2 linked regions of the Lepisosteus oculatus genome follow. The protein of the gene in region 1 purifies or fractionates together with the protein of each later gene. This does not show direct contact. Links are inferred from orthologs where the notes say so. Each region holds a gene or a part of one and is shown on either strand. Other genes may lie near its edges.

Region 1 (7,967 bases):
CAGATGATCTAGAGATCACACTCGGCAGTACGTATCAGTGGGTGGGAAACACGGTGAGCCACTTGCTCAGCGAGGACTGTTCACTTAGGCAGTTCTCGACAGAACACAGCCACGCCTTGGACTTGTGGTTAAGAGTTCAGAAACACTACCTCGAAAACCCCACAAACAGCTACACCAATTAGTCACATCTACGGAGTTTTCACAAACAAAAACAGCATGCCTGCCAAACGGTGCGTTATTAAGCCTCCAAAACCTTCTCATTGCATTTCCTTACTAATTCTGCCCATCTAGGTATTCGGCTGTATGTGGCAACACTTGCCTTTCCTCGCTAAAACAAAACAGTCGAAAATCTTGGACTGTCTTGTCTGTAATCTCGCGGGCACAAAGGGCCTATTGATGGCAGAGGCAAAGTTGGAATGTCAATAGAACAGATCAGGTGTCTTGCGTTTTAAACTGCACAGGAAAACCCTTGACCATTATCAATCCTTTCATTTGGAGAACATGCGCGTGCTTCCCTGACAGACGCTGGATAAAGATGTCGCTGCATCGCTCGTCACCTTAGTTCAAAGAAGCAAATTTTCATTTAAATGGGCCCACAAAGGAGAAAAGGAAAAGTCTGGTGCTGAACAAATTAATCCCAAATCCATTCAAGAGTTAGTCAATAGCAGGAAGTCAAATATTTCTCTGAAGTGGCCTTTGGCCTTGTGACAGACACACCTTAAAGGCTTGTAAGCTATCAAACCCACAAAACACTTTTGCAGTTCATGCGATCAAACATCCTGGCCATATCCATAATGACATCTATCTATTGTACTGCCCCGACTATGAAAGAGTGTTTAACCACAAACCTAACCTACTTCTGTTTTTTATTTTCCTCAAAATGGTATTTTAAGAACCTGCATTTAAGGCTAGGCTGCCAGCTGACTATAATCCACTGACCAGAAGCCTTGAAAATCAGACCAGAAAAAAATGGAGCCAAAATCAGACACTAAATGAGGGTTTCAGTTACTTTAAGAAAATCTCTCCCCCAGACACTTTTCACACTGCACACAGACGACTAACAACAAACAGCTAATGTGAAGTAGTAACACAGTGTGTTAAAGGGCAACACGGGCTTTGCTTAAAACTAAAGGCTTTATTTAACGTATTCATATTTTCTCAATAAAATAGCTGGGAGGTAGTCTATCAAAATCAGTCATTAAAAGGCAAAGTGAGATGTTTCCATCATAAAACGTATAGAATCACTCAAAACACTGGGCTCACAGTGCAAAATCTAATATTCTGCGGGTATAGTGCATAAAGGGGACCAATGAGTTGTTCAATTTCGTAAGTACTCCTGTAATCACTGAAGAATACATTTTGACGTGCACCTGTGAAATCTGTTTTGAATAAGTTCATACTATACCCCTTGCAAGCTTTAAGCAGTCATACAGTATCGACATACATTACCTAAGATCAGGGTTGCTTTAAATATTTCGAGGTGAACGTGTTTAGACAACTATCAGCACGCAAGAAATAAACCTTCAACTGTTTGATGAAGCTACAGAAAGGAAAGCACGTCCAGCAAGCGGCCAGATTCAACCATTTCAAGAATGCAGGACAAGCAGCTGCCGTCCGCCAGCCACGTCCTGGAAACACAAGTTTCCCCAGCAGTGACGGAGCACGGCTACTTCCAGGTTACATGTTGACACTGGCACATATGAAGGCATGTTCTCCCGCAACTGATGGCGAACTATATCGGCAGTTTACTCTTCAAGACGATGAAAACCGGAGCACCTCAAACACCCAACGGCAAAACGCGTGCTAACTAACACCTTACATTTCGTTTCCCCCCCAATGATAACACTATTGAACCAAGACATCTCGCCAGAGATGCCAAACCACAATTTGGGCGTAGGAATACACAAGACGTCAATCTTCAGTTTTTGAAGTCCGATTTCGTCGCATACTGTATACGCCTGTGTGGCGGTCACGCCGTTAGTCTTCACGTTGAAAAATAAATTGGCAAATTTCAGCTACTAGGAAGCGGCGGCGCCGTGGTGTTAAAAACGATTGGGCAAGAGTCGGCAAATAAGGTGCAATTTAGGAGGAGATTACCAGCATTACCTAATGTACCTGGCAGCGTGGGGTGCGTTTACATCACATTAATGCACTAAAGGTATTAAACCAGAAGATCGGCTGTACACAGCAGCCTATTGAACAGTAAACAGTCACGCTAATCAGAAAAGAGCGGTTCTCTTTTCCATACATAACTACGGATAGCTGGACAAAAAAAAACATCTTACACTTCACGTCTCAAGTTTGTGTGCATTACTTACTGGATAAATGCGGGCTACTAGTGCAGAAAAGAATCGAAAACGGAAGACCGCGTGAGCCCCTCCATTCCCTCAAATAAAAGTTTCTCAAACGAGATCCAAAACGTTACACGTATTTAAACTCTACATGCGTTTCCCCGTCGGCGAATGAGCCATTCCTGGATTTAAATCAAGAGCCTCCAGTCGAAATATAACAAGATAAGGAAAAGACACACCCTCCGGACTAGCGAACCAGACTGATCGCGAAACGGTGGAAATGAATGGGAACAAGATCTGCCGTTTCCCTGCCGATAAGGGACGAGCCGCTGTCGGTAAAAACGCAGACAACTTTAAAGACGGGCCACATCGGGGGGGTATTTTCGAAAAGATTTTGAAACCCCGTTTTAATCCCTTCGAGTTTCGCTGCAACATTCACATTTCCTGTCTCCGGCTCCCCACACTTCCACGGGGAAAGAAAAAAAAGCCGAGGCATCCACTTCGCATCTCGGAATTACATCGCTTTCTTTTTTTTTCCCTTTCTTACCTGAACATAATTGTTTTCACAGTAATCAGCGACCCTGGTGAGGTTCTGGTAGCTCTCCACCAGAGCTCTTTTGCCGGCTGGAATTTCTTCCTCTAACAACATCTGCAGCTCTGCCATCTTACATCTCTCTGCATTTCTTCTTCTCCTTCCCTTTGATCGAACCCACAAGCTCTGCCCCAGAAAGCTGCTCCTCCGCCTGGTATTGTGGGATTCCTGGCCTCGCTTTCGCCACCGCGACCTTTCACCAGCCGGGCTCGCGCACACGAGCACCGCCGCAGCAGGGAGACGCAGGAACCCGCAGAGGTGCACGCTGGGACCTGTAGTCTTGAAGCGAAACCTCGATGATGACACTGTCGCTATCAAGTGTGGGAAAAGACACATTTCGCGCGTGTATGTATACGTTGAGAGAGACTGGAAAGCCATTGCTGATATAGACGGTTAACTTTTACGCTTTGCGTAGATGACAGAAGATATTCTCTCTTTTCCGCCACCCCTGCTTTAACGTGATAATTGTCTTTAACTATTTGAACTGTTCTTCCTATCCGCTGAACGTCGGTGAAAAAGATGTGACTCGTATATGTATGTATGCTATACGTAATCTAAGAGTGTATTCTTAGAACTAAGCTTGATTTTAATTATTTTGATACATTCATCAGGCATTTAAAATGATGGATATTTTATGCTTGTCTAAATATCGTGAAAAAATATACATTGTTCTTTAGACGCATGTAAGAAAATTAATACATTTCCAGAAATCTTAAATCCTGTCACACGCAATTCTGTAAAAATATTATGCATAGATTGAGACTTGATACTTTATTAAGGCTGTTAATTTATTAAAATATCCTCTATATTACTACAATTCCCACAAAACACTATATTTAATACTGCATTGTGGTTTTTGTAGTCAATTTGACTGAACTCTGTTTTCTGGTACACTCGCCCGTGGCCTTAAAAAACTACAAATCCCCTGGACGTAGCGCTAATGTCAGATTTGTGTTGGTTCCTATTTAGAGACGTATTTGAGAAGTCAACGTATTTACAGTAGGTACATCATGTTTATCTAGTATTTTAACTATTTAATATACAAGGGTATGACAGGTATACGAATTTTGAGGTGTGGACGTAGCTAAGTCTGTGCAAATTTGTTCTTTGTAATTTTGAACTCTTGTAACAATTTAGCCCTATGTCACGAGAGGAATGACCTGTTCGGCAAATACTGTTTACGTCTGTGTGCCGAGTGATTAATATTTAATTCTCCTTTTTAAAAGCTCAATGAAACTTTGAAATGTTGAGTTGATCAGTGCAGTAACTAACCATGTAATTATTCAATTTAGTTATAAAACCGTTTAACAAATACGTCGTTCTTTTCTGAAGACTGTCGGTACTCAAAAGTACACTTTAATCTTATATGCAGCTGGTGAGCTGCTCCAGTTCATATTTGTAATCCCCAGGTTTAAAGATTTGTCGCTGACTCTTTTGCAGCCTCTGTCATAATGGCGGATGAAAAACCAATCCACGAGCAACGATTTGATGCTGCAGTGAAAGTAATTCAGAGTTTACCGCAAAATGGTAAGTGCTTCGATTTCTGCTTTATTACACGAGACTACCTGCAAATTACTTCTGGATAATAGCACCTTGATCCAGCAGGACTTCGTGTTAGTTTTTGTTGGTAGCCGTGTGTCTGCGGAAATGAAAATCTATCTTTCATTTAAGGCATTATAGATGAAGTAAACTGAAGTTTACTGTAAACAAGTAGTAACGGGTCCTTTGTTTGGGTGCTGAAATTACAATAGGTTACTGTGTTGACCCATTCCTGTCTTGTAAGCATTTCATTTGAAAGGCAGTGGATGCAGCTACCTGTTCAGAGGAACTTTCTACTCAAATTGGATCTTTCTCCCAAATATTATATTGCAGTGCCCCTGTCTTTGCTGCTCGATAACATTGTCTTGGCTTTAGCTGGGGTTCCATGCAGTAAACGTGGTAATTTGGTGGATACAGTTTTATATATATCTATTCAATTTCGTTTTAATGAACTGGAACACCATGTGTTTCATCCCATCGGTAGAAGACGATTGGTTATCTTTTCAAAGATTGTTTTAGCAATATAATCAACAACATTATCACATTTCACCACTCGTGATGCTGATTTGAGTAACAAAATCGCGAGAGCCCCTGGCCTATCCCTGTGCGAGAGTGTTCAATGCCAGGGCCTCTTCAGAAAATAACTATTATCTTTCCTGCAAGTTAGACAAAAGTCCACAAAAGCTAGTAAAAGCTCTAAAACATTACAATAATATATTCTTAGACCTCTTACACAAAGCTTTGGAAGTTAATTAAAATTATGAAGGATAAGTCAATTTAGGTACTGCCAAAATACTGTTATGACAACGAAAAACACATTTAATTCAGTCACTGAACATCTCATTTATACTGATATGGTTGCGTGTTTTCTAGGTCAATTTTTAACAACAAGGCTGATTTGGTTGAATCTGTTGTGGTCAAGTTCCAGAGTCCCTTCATTTTTATTATGCAGCAAGTTACTGAGTCAATACAAACTGAACTTGGAAGACTGACAGTGATAAGACCTCTGATCACAAGGGTATTGAACCAGTTCTGATCAAATTAGACACTCATTTAATATCTACTCTGCTGTTTCATTTATTCCAACTCCTTGTAATCCTAACAGACTCAGAATAGTCCCTTGTTCTGTCTCTGTTTTGAAGAGGCTGTTAAATCAGACTCTTGACTGCTGTAGATCTGTATTCACTTTTCCCTGCCTTTCTAAGAACATGTGAAAAATTGCTCGCAAACAGTTCAGCTCTTTTTAGACAGTTTTCTTTTAGCAGATACACAGCCTGTTTTCTTTCAGGGTGTGATTGCCATCTTAAAGGTTCTCAAGGATATTATAATCACGTTGGATCAAAATCACATTTCTGCAGCCTTCTCGATTGTTTTATCTACAGCGTTTGATATGGTGAATCACTGTATACTTCCAAAAAGTTGCATTTAGGATTCATGTTGTTTATAAAATCTCTCATATGATGTTGCTATTACTTACACAACTACAGAGTGAATATACTACTTCTGTTAATAATAAGATAGTTTGTTGCACACCCTTTAAAAGTCCATCGGGTTTCAATCACTGGTCCATACGGTCTTCTTCATGTGTGTTAGCAGTATTGCTCAGTCAAAAGATAAGTCTCTTATCTACTTATATGTGATGACCATCTTACACTTCACAGGATGCACTTTATCTTTAATGACTAATCTTCAGTTTTGTTTACACAGAATTCAGTAGGCTTTCTATAAACTTGACCTTTTTCTAAGCATTAATAAAACAAATATACTAATAAAACTAATAACAGCACTACTAAAACTGTATGCTGTGTAATAAATGATTCTTTGAACTTCTCCCTGAGTAACTTGTGCAAAATGCTTCAGGAAAGATCATGTGAGGAGCAGGTCACATTTTGTAAATATCTAGACATCTAGTGGAATAGTGCTTTAATGTTCATAATTTATATTAAGAAAATGCACGCTTAAATGTAGGTTTTGTTTCTACTCTTATTAGGCTTGATTCAGGTTTCTTTAGGTTATACTAGTTCAAATGTTTGCACTCCACATTAAGGACCATGGTGATGTTTTACAGGGCTTATAAAGCAGTTTTGGGGAATTCTGATGTCTTTCAGTACCTAGTTCTGCAGAGCGACAAGCCACCAGAGTTTTCTGGGTTGCCCTTAAAACCTGCTCTTTTTAACACTTGGAACAATTTTGTTTCATTTCCATTAGCAGGTAAACTTTATCCGTTAAGTAATCATTTGAACTGAAAATGCCAAACATCCTGAAGCTCTCGGAGATCACAGTTGACCTTTACTGACTTCACTGAACCAAACGATCTATTGAATTTACTGAATTTGTTACTGATTTATTTTTTCCCCACTGACACCCCTTACCAAACACATCATTAGCAGCCATATCACCCTGCAACTCACAACTGGCAACCCACTGAAGCTAAGCAGGCCTGAGCCTGGTCAGTACCTGGATGGGAGACCTCCTGGGAAAAACTAAGGCTGCTGCTGGAAGAGGTGTTAGTGGGGCCAGCAGGGGGCACTCACCCTGTGGTTGTGTGGGTCCTAATGCCCCAGTATAGTGACGGGGACACTATACTGTAAACAGGCGCCGTCCTTCGGATGAGACGTAAAACCGAGGTCCTGACTCTCTGTGGTCATTAAAAATCCCAGGGCGCTTCTCGAAAAGAGTAGGGGACACCTGTAACCCCGGAGTCCTGGCCAAATTTCCCATTGTCCCTCACCAATCATGGCCTCCTAATAATCCCCATCTATGAATTGGCTTCATTACTCTGCTCTCCTCCCCACTGAGAGCTGGTGTGTGGCGAAACATGGTGCACTATGGCTGCACTGGGGCTGCACATTGGTGGTGGTGGAGGGGAGACCCCATTACCTGTAAAGCGCTTTGAGTGGAGTGTCCAGAAAAGAGCTATATAAGTGTAAGCAATTATTATTATTATTATTATTATTATTATTATCTACATAGCTGATGGACACAAGTTAGGAAAATACTTTCCCCTCGTCATAATTTATTGTGCCTAAATCAATTTAATCAGACTAAATCAATTTAAGATTTAGTCTATACATCCATTTGGTAAGTGCTTTATACAATTCAGGGTCACGGGGGTAGCTGGAGCCCGTCTTGGCGAGCGACGGGCCCAAGGCGGGGTGTTCCGCCCCCCTGAATGGGACACTGGTCCGTCACAGGGCAGGCACAAATACGCACACCCTTGCACCAGGGCCTATTTCCCCAGAAGCCAGTTAACCTGCCGGCATGTCTTTGGACCGTGAGAGGAAACCGGAGCGCCCAGAGGAAACCCACGCAAACATGGTGGTGTGGTGGCTCTGTGGCGAAGGATCTGCGCCTGTGGCTGAAAACTGAAAAGTTGCCGGTTCCTAACTTACTGAATTTGTCGAAGCTTGCCCATGTTTCAGGTCATTACTCGTGGCTGATTTAAAGGAGACTTGGAAGATCGAAAGGATTGTGCCTTTTCAACACGGGGGCTGGTCAGTCCTGTCTTATGCTATTCTGTCATGTGATTTATTTTTTCCTCCTGG
Region 2 (7,954 bases), on another chromosome or scaffold:
AAGTCTGTTTCCTGCTCTACCTCCACCCCTCCGGTTATGCCTTGAAGAGAGATTTATCTCTTAATCTTCCTGGTTAGTTGAAGATTAAGCAAATTGAAATACCCTATTTTTAAAGTTATTCACTATGCATAAAAAACAGTATTGGTTATATTTGGTAGGTAGTTATAAAAAACTGAAGCTTGACTAAAAACTTTTGAACAAGATGTGAATCACAGCTTCTGTAACTATTAATGAAATTAAAAAGAATAAACCAAGGGCTTTACTTTTTTTCCTCCGTCAGCATGACTCGGTTATTGCAATCTGAAGCATTCATCATATGACCTTGAAAACTGCTCTGAGCTATGGGTGAATCAGGGTGAAAGATTCCAAATAAAAGGGTAGGCAAATGAAAGATGCCAAATAGAAAGTAATCATTATAGCAACATTTTAATTCTAAGAAACTACACACTTCAGTTCCAAAATACCTGTTTAGAATTTGTCAGATTTGATGTTTTCTTAGTTCATGGTTTAAATAACTGGGAGGAAGACTATCTCACACTTTCAGAAATCTGGCTGATTTATAGAACTCCGGAAACCACATGTTTTTTTTCATCCCAATAAAACTTAACACGAGAGGGTTTTCTCTTCTGATGCAACACATTGAGGAATTATAGTTTAAAAAATTAACATCTTGCACAACTTTAAGAGGAAGTGTGCTACAAGCAAAACTAACCCGGCTTAACAAATCAAATATCTTTTCACTACAGTGAATGCATGTTTAACATTTACATTTTTATACTGGAAATTGAAAGTATTCAAATAGTATACAATTGGAATAACGGAAGTAGAGGTATTTCACAGGCTTTACATGTTAAAAAAAAAATATCTGGAGTATTTTTATTCCTTGTTAGGCCATAAATGAAATAATTACACCTCAATACTATTAGTCACTTTATGCAAGTTACCCCCCAATCTTCTTAATATCTATTGGGATTATTTACAGTAAAAGGTACAGATCTAGATAAAAAAGGCCTTGCAACTGAAGCTTGACTAAAAACTTGAACAAGACGTGAATCACAACTTCTGTAACTATTAATGTAATGAGAAAGAATAAACAAAATAGTGTTTGAGTGATGGAGGAAAATGTAAATGGCTTTACTTTTTTCCCCCTCCGTCAGCATGACTCGGTTATTGCAAACTGAAGCATTCATCATATGACCTTGAAAACTGCTCTGAGCTATGGGTGAATCAGGGTGAAAGATAAATAAAAGGGTAGGCAAATGAAAGATGCCAAATAGAAAGTAATCAGTAATCAAAAAAGCATAAAAATGAAATGGAGCAAACAGGCGATGGAATGAGCTCAGTATTTAAAAAAAAAACTTCTGGTAAAAGTCCCAATTGAAGCCCTTCTATAATAAATTTTAATTGTTCAAGGATACTGAGTGGAAGGGGGATAGTAAATAAACCAAAGTTTACAATCACATTCTTTGTAAAGAAAATTTATTTTTCCACAATACACAAAATCCCAGTAACTCAGCTATGCTTTACGAGGGCCAAATGCTACTGTTAGGTTAAGGCTTTTACATTTACATCAGACACCCTTCTCTGCACATGTTTCAAAGGGCACCTTCATTCAGTAAAGAGACTAAACACAGCAGCACCTTGCTCTAGAGAGCATAAACAGAGTTGGGAGACACCCACATGCTTTTCTCGCAGAGGCAAAAGCAGGCAAGAAATAACAGTCTCGCCAATTTGGTGTTAAGAGATACACAGCGACAGTTGTGTGAAGCAAAGAAGAAACCCACTATTTCTGAAAATGTGCAGACTGCAGATTAACAGATGAAGCAGAATCATTACTATCTTTCATGGCGCTCATGTTACTTCAGGCTTATCTCTAGCCACACTAATGCTTCTCTAAAGAAAGGGCCTGTCTACTTGGCCAAGCTCAGCAGCTTTTTGACGTCTTCCTCGATGTCGCTGGTGAGAAATCGTCTGCTGTAGCGCTTGAACGGCTTGCCATCAGGGCCAATGAGGAACTTCTCGAAGTTCCACGAGATGTCATTCCTGCAGACCGGGCTCCAGATGATGTACTTGGGGTCGGTCATGAGGGACAGGTTGTCATCACTGGGGTAAGGCAACTGCTCCTTAAGGAATGTGAACAGGGGGTGGGCATCCTTCCCATTCACATCCACCTTCTGCGTCAGAAGGAAATCCGGCACAAACCCATTGCCTGGACGGACATACTTCAAGGAATTGAGAATCTCTTCGTTCTTACAATTCTCCTGTGGAATTGTAGGAACATAATTGGTTATAAATGGCTCAACTGAATGTCTGAAATATATCTAATAACCCTTTTATAGTCAATTGAAGCACTACAGGATTAGAGTATAATAGCCGAGTACAAAAACAGCCAGAGCAGTTATAGCACCTCCATTTTCTCCAGATAATTTTTCATTTTTAAACTTGCCATCAGTTAGGAATCAATTCAGTAATTTATTGTAATGTTTAAAATGTATTTAATGGCGTTGAACTAAAAAAGTGTTAAGGTTGATTATCCCTGAAAAACCGAATGAACTTTGTTTTACCATCATAATTATTATCATTATTTCACTGGGACATTTTCTCCCAGTATGTTGGTAAATGGGTCCTGTAAATCCTAGCCTCCCAAAAACAATTTGTTCAACGCGACAACTCAGTCCTCCTGCAACATTATCACAATTGGTCTAATATATAAAAAAAATGGGGCTTACAACGCCCGATTACCACACAACAAAAAAAGAACTGAAGTTTAATCATTTAGGTTACTTCAAAGCTAATATTTCACTTCAATCAATTAAGAATACACACTTGAAAAACCGAACGATTACCGTTTCCTTTTAACCGATAGCCCAAAAGATAAACAAGATTATTTCAGCGGCTCATGTGCAAACAGCTCGCAAAAAAAAACCTGAACATTAAGCAATAAAAAGTACCATCGAAATTATGAGATTTCCATTTCCTTGTGAACTCAGGTGAAGCCTTGCCTTCACCAGATAACGGAAACGTCACAAAGTTACCGTTTTTCTAACTTCCTATGAAACTAGAGAGCCACTAAGGTACTTCAAGCTAAAGGAAATTGCTCCTGCGGTCAGAAGGAGTAACCTCCCTACCTGATATCCGAACTGGTTACAGGGCACCCCCAGTACCACCAGCCCCTGGGCGCCGTAGCGCTGCTGGAGCTGGTTCATCTGGGTGTAATCCCTGGTGGTCGTGCCTCAGAGAGACGCCACGTTCTCGATCAGCACGACCTTGCCCTTCAGCGTGGAGAAGTTATACGCTTCTCCCGTGGACAGGAGATTCATCGAGAAATCGTAAAACTTCTTCATCCCTCCAGCCATCTTGAAACCCAAAGACTGTCCTGCTTTCCCGCTGTCAGGTCCCTTTTGTACCCGAGCCTGGAGACGCTGGTTCCAGGTGGTGCGCAAGGAAAGGGGAGGTGTTAAGGGGCTGGCCTTCAAATGTTAATAATTTTTTGAGGAAGTTTTCCAAAATGCAAATTACAGAAACCCTTATATGAACAAAACAGAACACTAGGCGGCTTCTGCGTCTATGCGTAATATTTATGCGTGGGGCTAAATGGAATATTTGTGTTGAGAAATAACCCCAAAGTGCCCAAGAACTCCTGCAAAAGGAAAATGTTTTCGATATTTTAATCAATGTATAAAACGACAAAAAAGCACAAAGTATGTTCCTATATCAGATAACGCTGTGAAAGGAAACGATAGCTTTATCTCTTTTGTATGTAAGGTTTGAAATAACCGATGTTAGCAGGGTGGTGTACAAACGGACCAAGGCCTCCTATTGTAACAGGAGGAAATAGATATTGTGTAAGGAAACGAGATAGGTTAGAAATCGCTTATTTCAGTGTCGGCAATCTCAGTTTTAATTGCACCAGAGTTAATAAAAGGGACAACACAAAATAATCTTTATTGGGTGATAAAGTGTGATAGTATGTAAATAGGGGTATGTAGGCGAATTTAACTTGGAAAACAATCTGCGATGCCAGTAGAAAATAATTAGCCTTTTTCATGATGACTCGGCAAAAATAAAGCTATAGTTCAAGTAGGTAAAAATAAAGTTGGATATTCACGTTGTCTTTACCTTCAAATGGGTTTAAAAACCGATTCCTGGAGTAACTGTATATATCGAGACTTATGCAGTATTAATAACTATTGTTTCGGGAGTAAGAAGAGGATTGGACTAAGCAAAGTACGGCGGTTCTTTCATAGAAGTAGTGAAAGGCGTTAGACGCTTTAAGACATATCTTGTCCTATATAAATACTAACTTCCATTTTTTCACGGTCTTTTAAATAACCATCTTCGGTGTGAAACACGCTGTACGTCCTTACATTTCGTACGTATATTTTTATAGCCCACTCAAGCATAAATTATATAGAAGAGCATCTAACCAAACCAAGAACAGAAGACGCATATTTACAGAACATACAGAAATATGTTTGAGAACATGGAACAAGATACCTATTAACATGCTGACACCGATACAATGGTTTCTGTCTAGAGACAGCTGCATGATATCATCTGATCACTCAGCTACATAGCAATTAAGCCAGTTAGGTATACCGAATTGCCTCATCTTGTTTGTCACCTTTCTTGCGTTGCAGGGTTTCCCTTTTCAACATTAAACAAAAAAAAACAGTAAGGAAAATGACGAAAATTAATATTACAAATCACATTTCGAGACAAACGATGGCGACGGACGGAAGCTTTATTTCACAACACTTCGATCAGCCCGAACACTTCTGAGCGTAGCTGCGACTTGTGTATTAATAGCGCCCTCTCCTGTTGAAATGTGGTACAGTCTCGGCGGGGGAACAGCAGGTAGGCGGCGCTCTGTCTCAGTCCAGATCTGCGGGAAAATGGCCGGCCAGGAAGATCCCGTCCAGAGAGAGATTCACCAAGACTGGGCAAATCGAGAATATATAGAAGTTATTACCAGCAGCATTAAGAAAATCGCAGATTTCCTCAACTCGTTCGGTAAGAGATTTTGAACTGAAGGCGAATATGAAGGGTCAGAGATGTTTAATACAGAAAACTAGGCCTTGCCCTGCTGCCGTCTCATTCTTAAAATGCATCGGGTTTTCTGTTGTATTTAAGTACTGTATGACATAAACCACACTGTTGCAATTTATAATACATATCTTAGCTGAAACTGTCAGTCTTTTAATTCGGTGGGCTTTGAGCGACGTAACGTTTAAGAGTATGTTCGGTCAACATCCTCAAGGGATAGGGCAGTTGTATTTAGTTAAAGCATACACCCATAAATCTGGGTGATTTGTATTTTTATTTGTACCAGATAGCTCTTTAAACCCATTCCGTAGGATTTTTTTTTAAACAGAAATCTTGTCAACGTTTAGCATTCCGTTACTGGGTGGTCCGGATGGGGTTATGAATGTAATTATCTTTGCTCAGCCACGTTATTTGAAAGAGGTTAAATTACTCTATAGGAACAGGCACATTAGGACACGAATTCAGACCTGAGGCCATTTTACAGCTTCCGCCTCTGGACAGCCCCAGTGCACTATAGATGTTGCTGCAGTTTTGATGTTTCCCTGATGTTGCCCCATGATGTACATGTAAATTTGTTATCATATTGCTTAAAGCAGGGGGTATCCAACCTTATTCTTTGGGTGTAACGCACCTAACCTAACATTTTCCCTAATTGAACACTTAATTGAGCCAACACTGTGCTTGATTGGAGCATTTGCAATTTTGTTCCACTCAAATGATGGACTTATGAATTGCAGAAGTCAGAAGGCGATCTCCAACATGTTTAGGACCTGGAAATAATTGGAGGTTTCAAATCAATCCGGTTATTAGATCAATTAATAAACTAGCAGGTGTTGGGGACTGGGGAGCTCCTGCTTGAAGAAGGAACACGTGAACACGTTATTTTATTATTAGCAGCCCAGAAACAAGTACATAGGCTACTGCCTAGTGCTGAGGATCTTCAGTTTTTTAGCATCTTCTCTGCCCTAGGGAAAGCTTGTCATGGAATGTGATGTTGAATTCAAGAGAACCTGTTAACCAGGGGGCAGCTGAAAAAGTCTCTTTTGTGTCACAGGGTTTTAGGGTTGTATAACAATGTAGTACTTAGCAGTGTTCCTAACTATCGGAGATGCTTCAGTATTTTGTATTTTTTTTCAGGTTACTAAAAGTGTCAACTGCAGTGGCTTGTTTGATATAGGTTCTGGTATGATAGTTATAAAACTCAAAAGACCTGGTCTTTTGTCAAGGAGAGGATATCTGCTGTCTAGGGAGACAGTGCATGTTGGGAGCCTGCAAGTGATCGGATTGAATCTCGGTAGGGAGACCTGCACTCATCACACTGACAGCTTGGGCTAAACTGATTGGACCCAACAGCTGCAGGATTGTCTGCTGCACAGTTGTGTTACAGCAGTACTCAACAGCAGGTTTCTCATGTATAGATATGTCCTGTCGGTCCCGATTGGCAACTCTGAATGAGAAGCTGACGGCGCTGGAGAGGAGAATTGAATACATTGAGGCTAGGGTAAGTAGTAGGATCTGTTGTGGGGCACTGATACTTCAATATTTAAATACTAGCATTCTGGATTTCCCTGTGCTTCATTTCATCCTTCTAGGGGGGGAAAAAATGACAAATGTATTTGTTCTCGAAGTTCCAGTCACAATTAACTGATGACTCGCCATTGAACGGGAATTGTTTAGTAGGAGGAGTGTTCATTGTACACACAGTCATTGGGAATGTGGGATAGTTGCCTTGAGAATTGAAAATTACTTGTTTTTTTTTTGTGTTTCATTTCCCTGCACAGTCATTGTTACAAAAAGAGGGTAGGTGGGTCAGAAAACTTCACCATAAAGTCAATATTTTAATGTTGCAATCTCCAGATTCATTCTGGTAGAGTGTGTTGCAGTAACACCTACTCAGTGTATTGCCTTTGACTCATACAGTACCTCATGGCCTTTATTTGCTGTTTTGATTCTGTACTGAAAATGCAATTCCTCTGCAGACAGCCGCAGGGCAGATTTCTGCTCATGTCCTGGTCTCATTGCAGATATCCAAATGCATAATTTCCATGAGACAGGTGATAACTGAGAGCTGTATCTTTGCTTATAAATACTAGTCTCTGGTCGTTAAAGTGACAAAGCTAATAGCACATTAAAGGTTTTTTTAAGATCAGCTATATTTTAACAACATCAAAAGCCAAATAATTATGTCATTTTTTTCTGGATGCTAAGTGCTTTCCAGTGAAGGATGAATGTCATTAATATTAAACTCATTATTCTTCTTTCTGTATAGGTTACAAAGGGGGAGACATTGACTTAGGCCGCACGGGGACACAGGATTCAGAAGAGCCTGGAGTAGCTCTGTATAACAATGGCACCCAAACATCACCTTCTTCCATTTTATAACATTTTTTAAAATATGCTTGCATACTTTAGACACATTTGTGTTTGCACGGGACAACTAAAAGACCTTCCCAAATGAGATGTGTGCGTGGCTTTCCTTTTCTCTTAATCCCTCTGGATATCTTTTAAGTCCCAAGACCTGTTGCTTACTTTTGGCACTCTCCTCAAAATGATGGTGGCATTTGAGGACAGTGTTTAGAACTGCACAGAACACCGCATAATAATTTTAGCAGGTAATGTAAACGTGGAGACAACTCGCAGTAGCCCGCAGGAATGAGGAGTTAACTACTATAAGCAGCATGAAGTGTACCTTGTGCTTGTGAATGAGTGAAGCAGTAACTAAAAAAAAATGTCACTGAAAATCCAACTGTCCTTTGAACCTTTAAACCTCACCCCTTCTTTTAGAAATCCTCACCCCCTAATCCCTCTTTTACTAAAGCAGACAGGGAGGTGGTGCTTGCAGAATGCATAGAGGGTGCTCGTGTAGCAGAGACAACCAGTCATAACCCTTCTATCATGGGCACAGTGC

What was found. The genes of interacting proteins can lie anywhere in the genome.
Region 2: the proteins of abi1a (region 1) and brk1 purify together in Homo sapiens (co-immunoprecipitation; 3 studies listed by BioGRID and IntAct, with this or other methods). This does not show direct contact. The link is inferred for Lepisosteus oculatus from reciprocal best matches to the Homo sapiens genes ABI1 and BRK1.

The regions. Positions count from the first base shown.
Region 1 is NC_090701.1:40,792,178-40,800,144, reverse strand, and holds the start of abi1a (abl interactor 1a), read right to left. Parts: upstream 3,101-7,967; 5' UTR 2,956-3,100; coding exon 2,839-2,955; intron 1-2,838. Other genes in the region: acbd5a (acyl-CoA-binding domain-containing protein 5A), read left to right, coding at 3,180-3,228, 4,324-4,410. UniProt on the Homo sapiens protein: May act in negative regulation of cell growth and transformation by interacting with nonreceptor tyrosine kinases ABL1 and/or ABL2. May play a role in regulation of EGF-induced Erk pathway activation. Involved in cytoskeletal reorganization and EGFR signaling.
Region 2 is NC_090699.1:53,752,814-53,760,767, forward strand, and holds the start of brk1 (probable protein BRICK1), read left to right. Parts: upstream 1-4,860; 5' UTR 4,861-4,895; coding exon 4,896-5,013; intron 5,014-6,464; coding exon 6,465-6,547; intron 6,548-7,315; coding exon 7,316-7,342; 3' UTR 7,343-7,954. UniProt on the Homo sapiens protein: Involved in regulation of actin and microtubule organization. Part of a WAVE complex that activates the Arp2/3 complex. As component of the WAVE1 complex, required for BDNF-NTRK2 endocytic trafficking and signaling from early endosomes.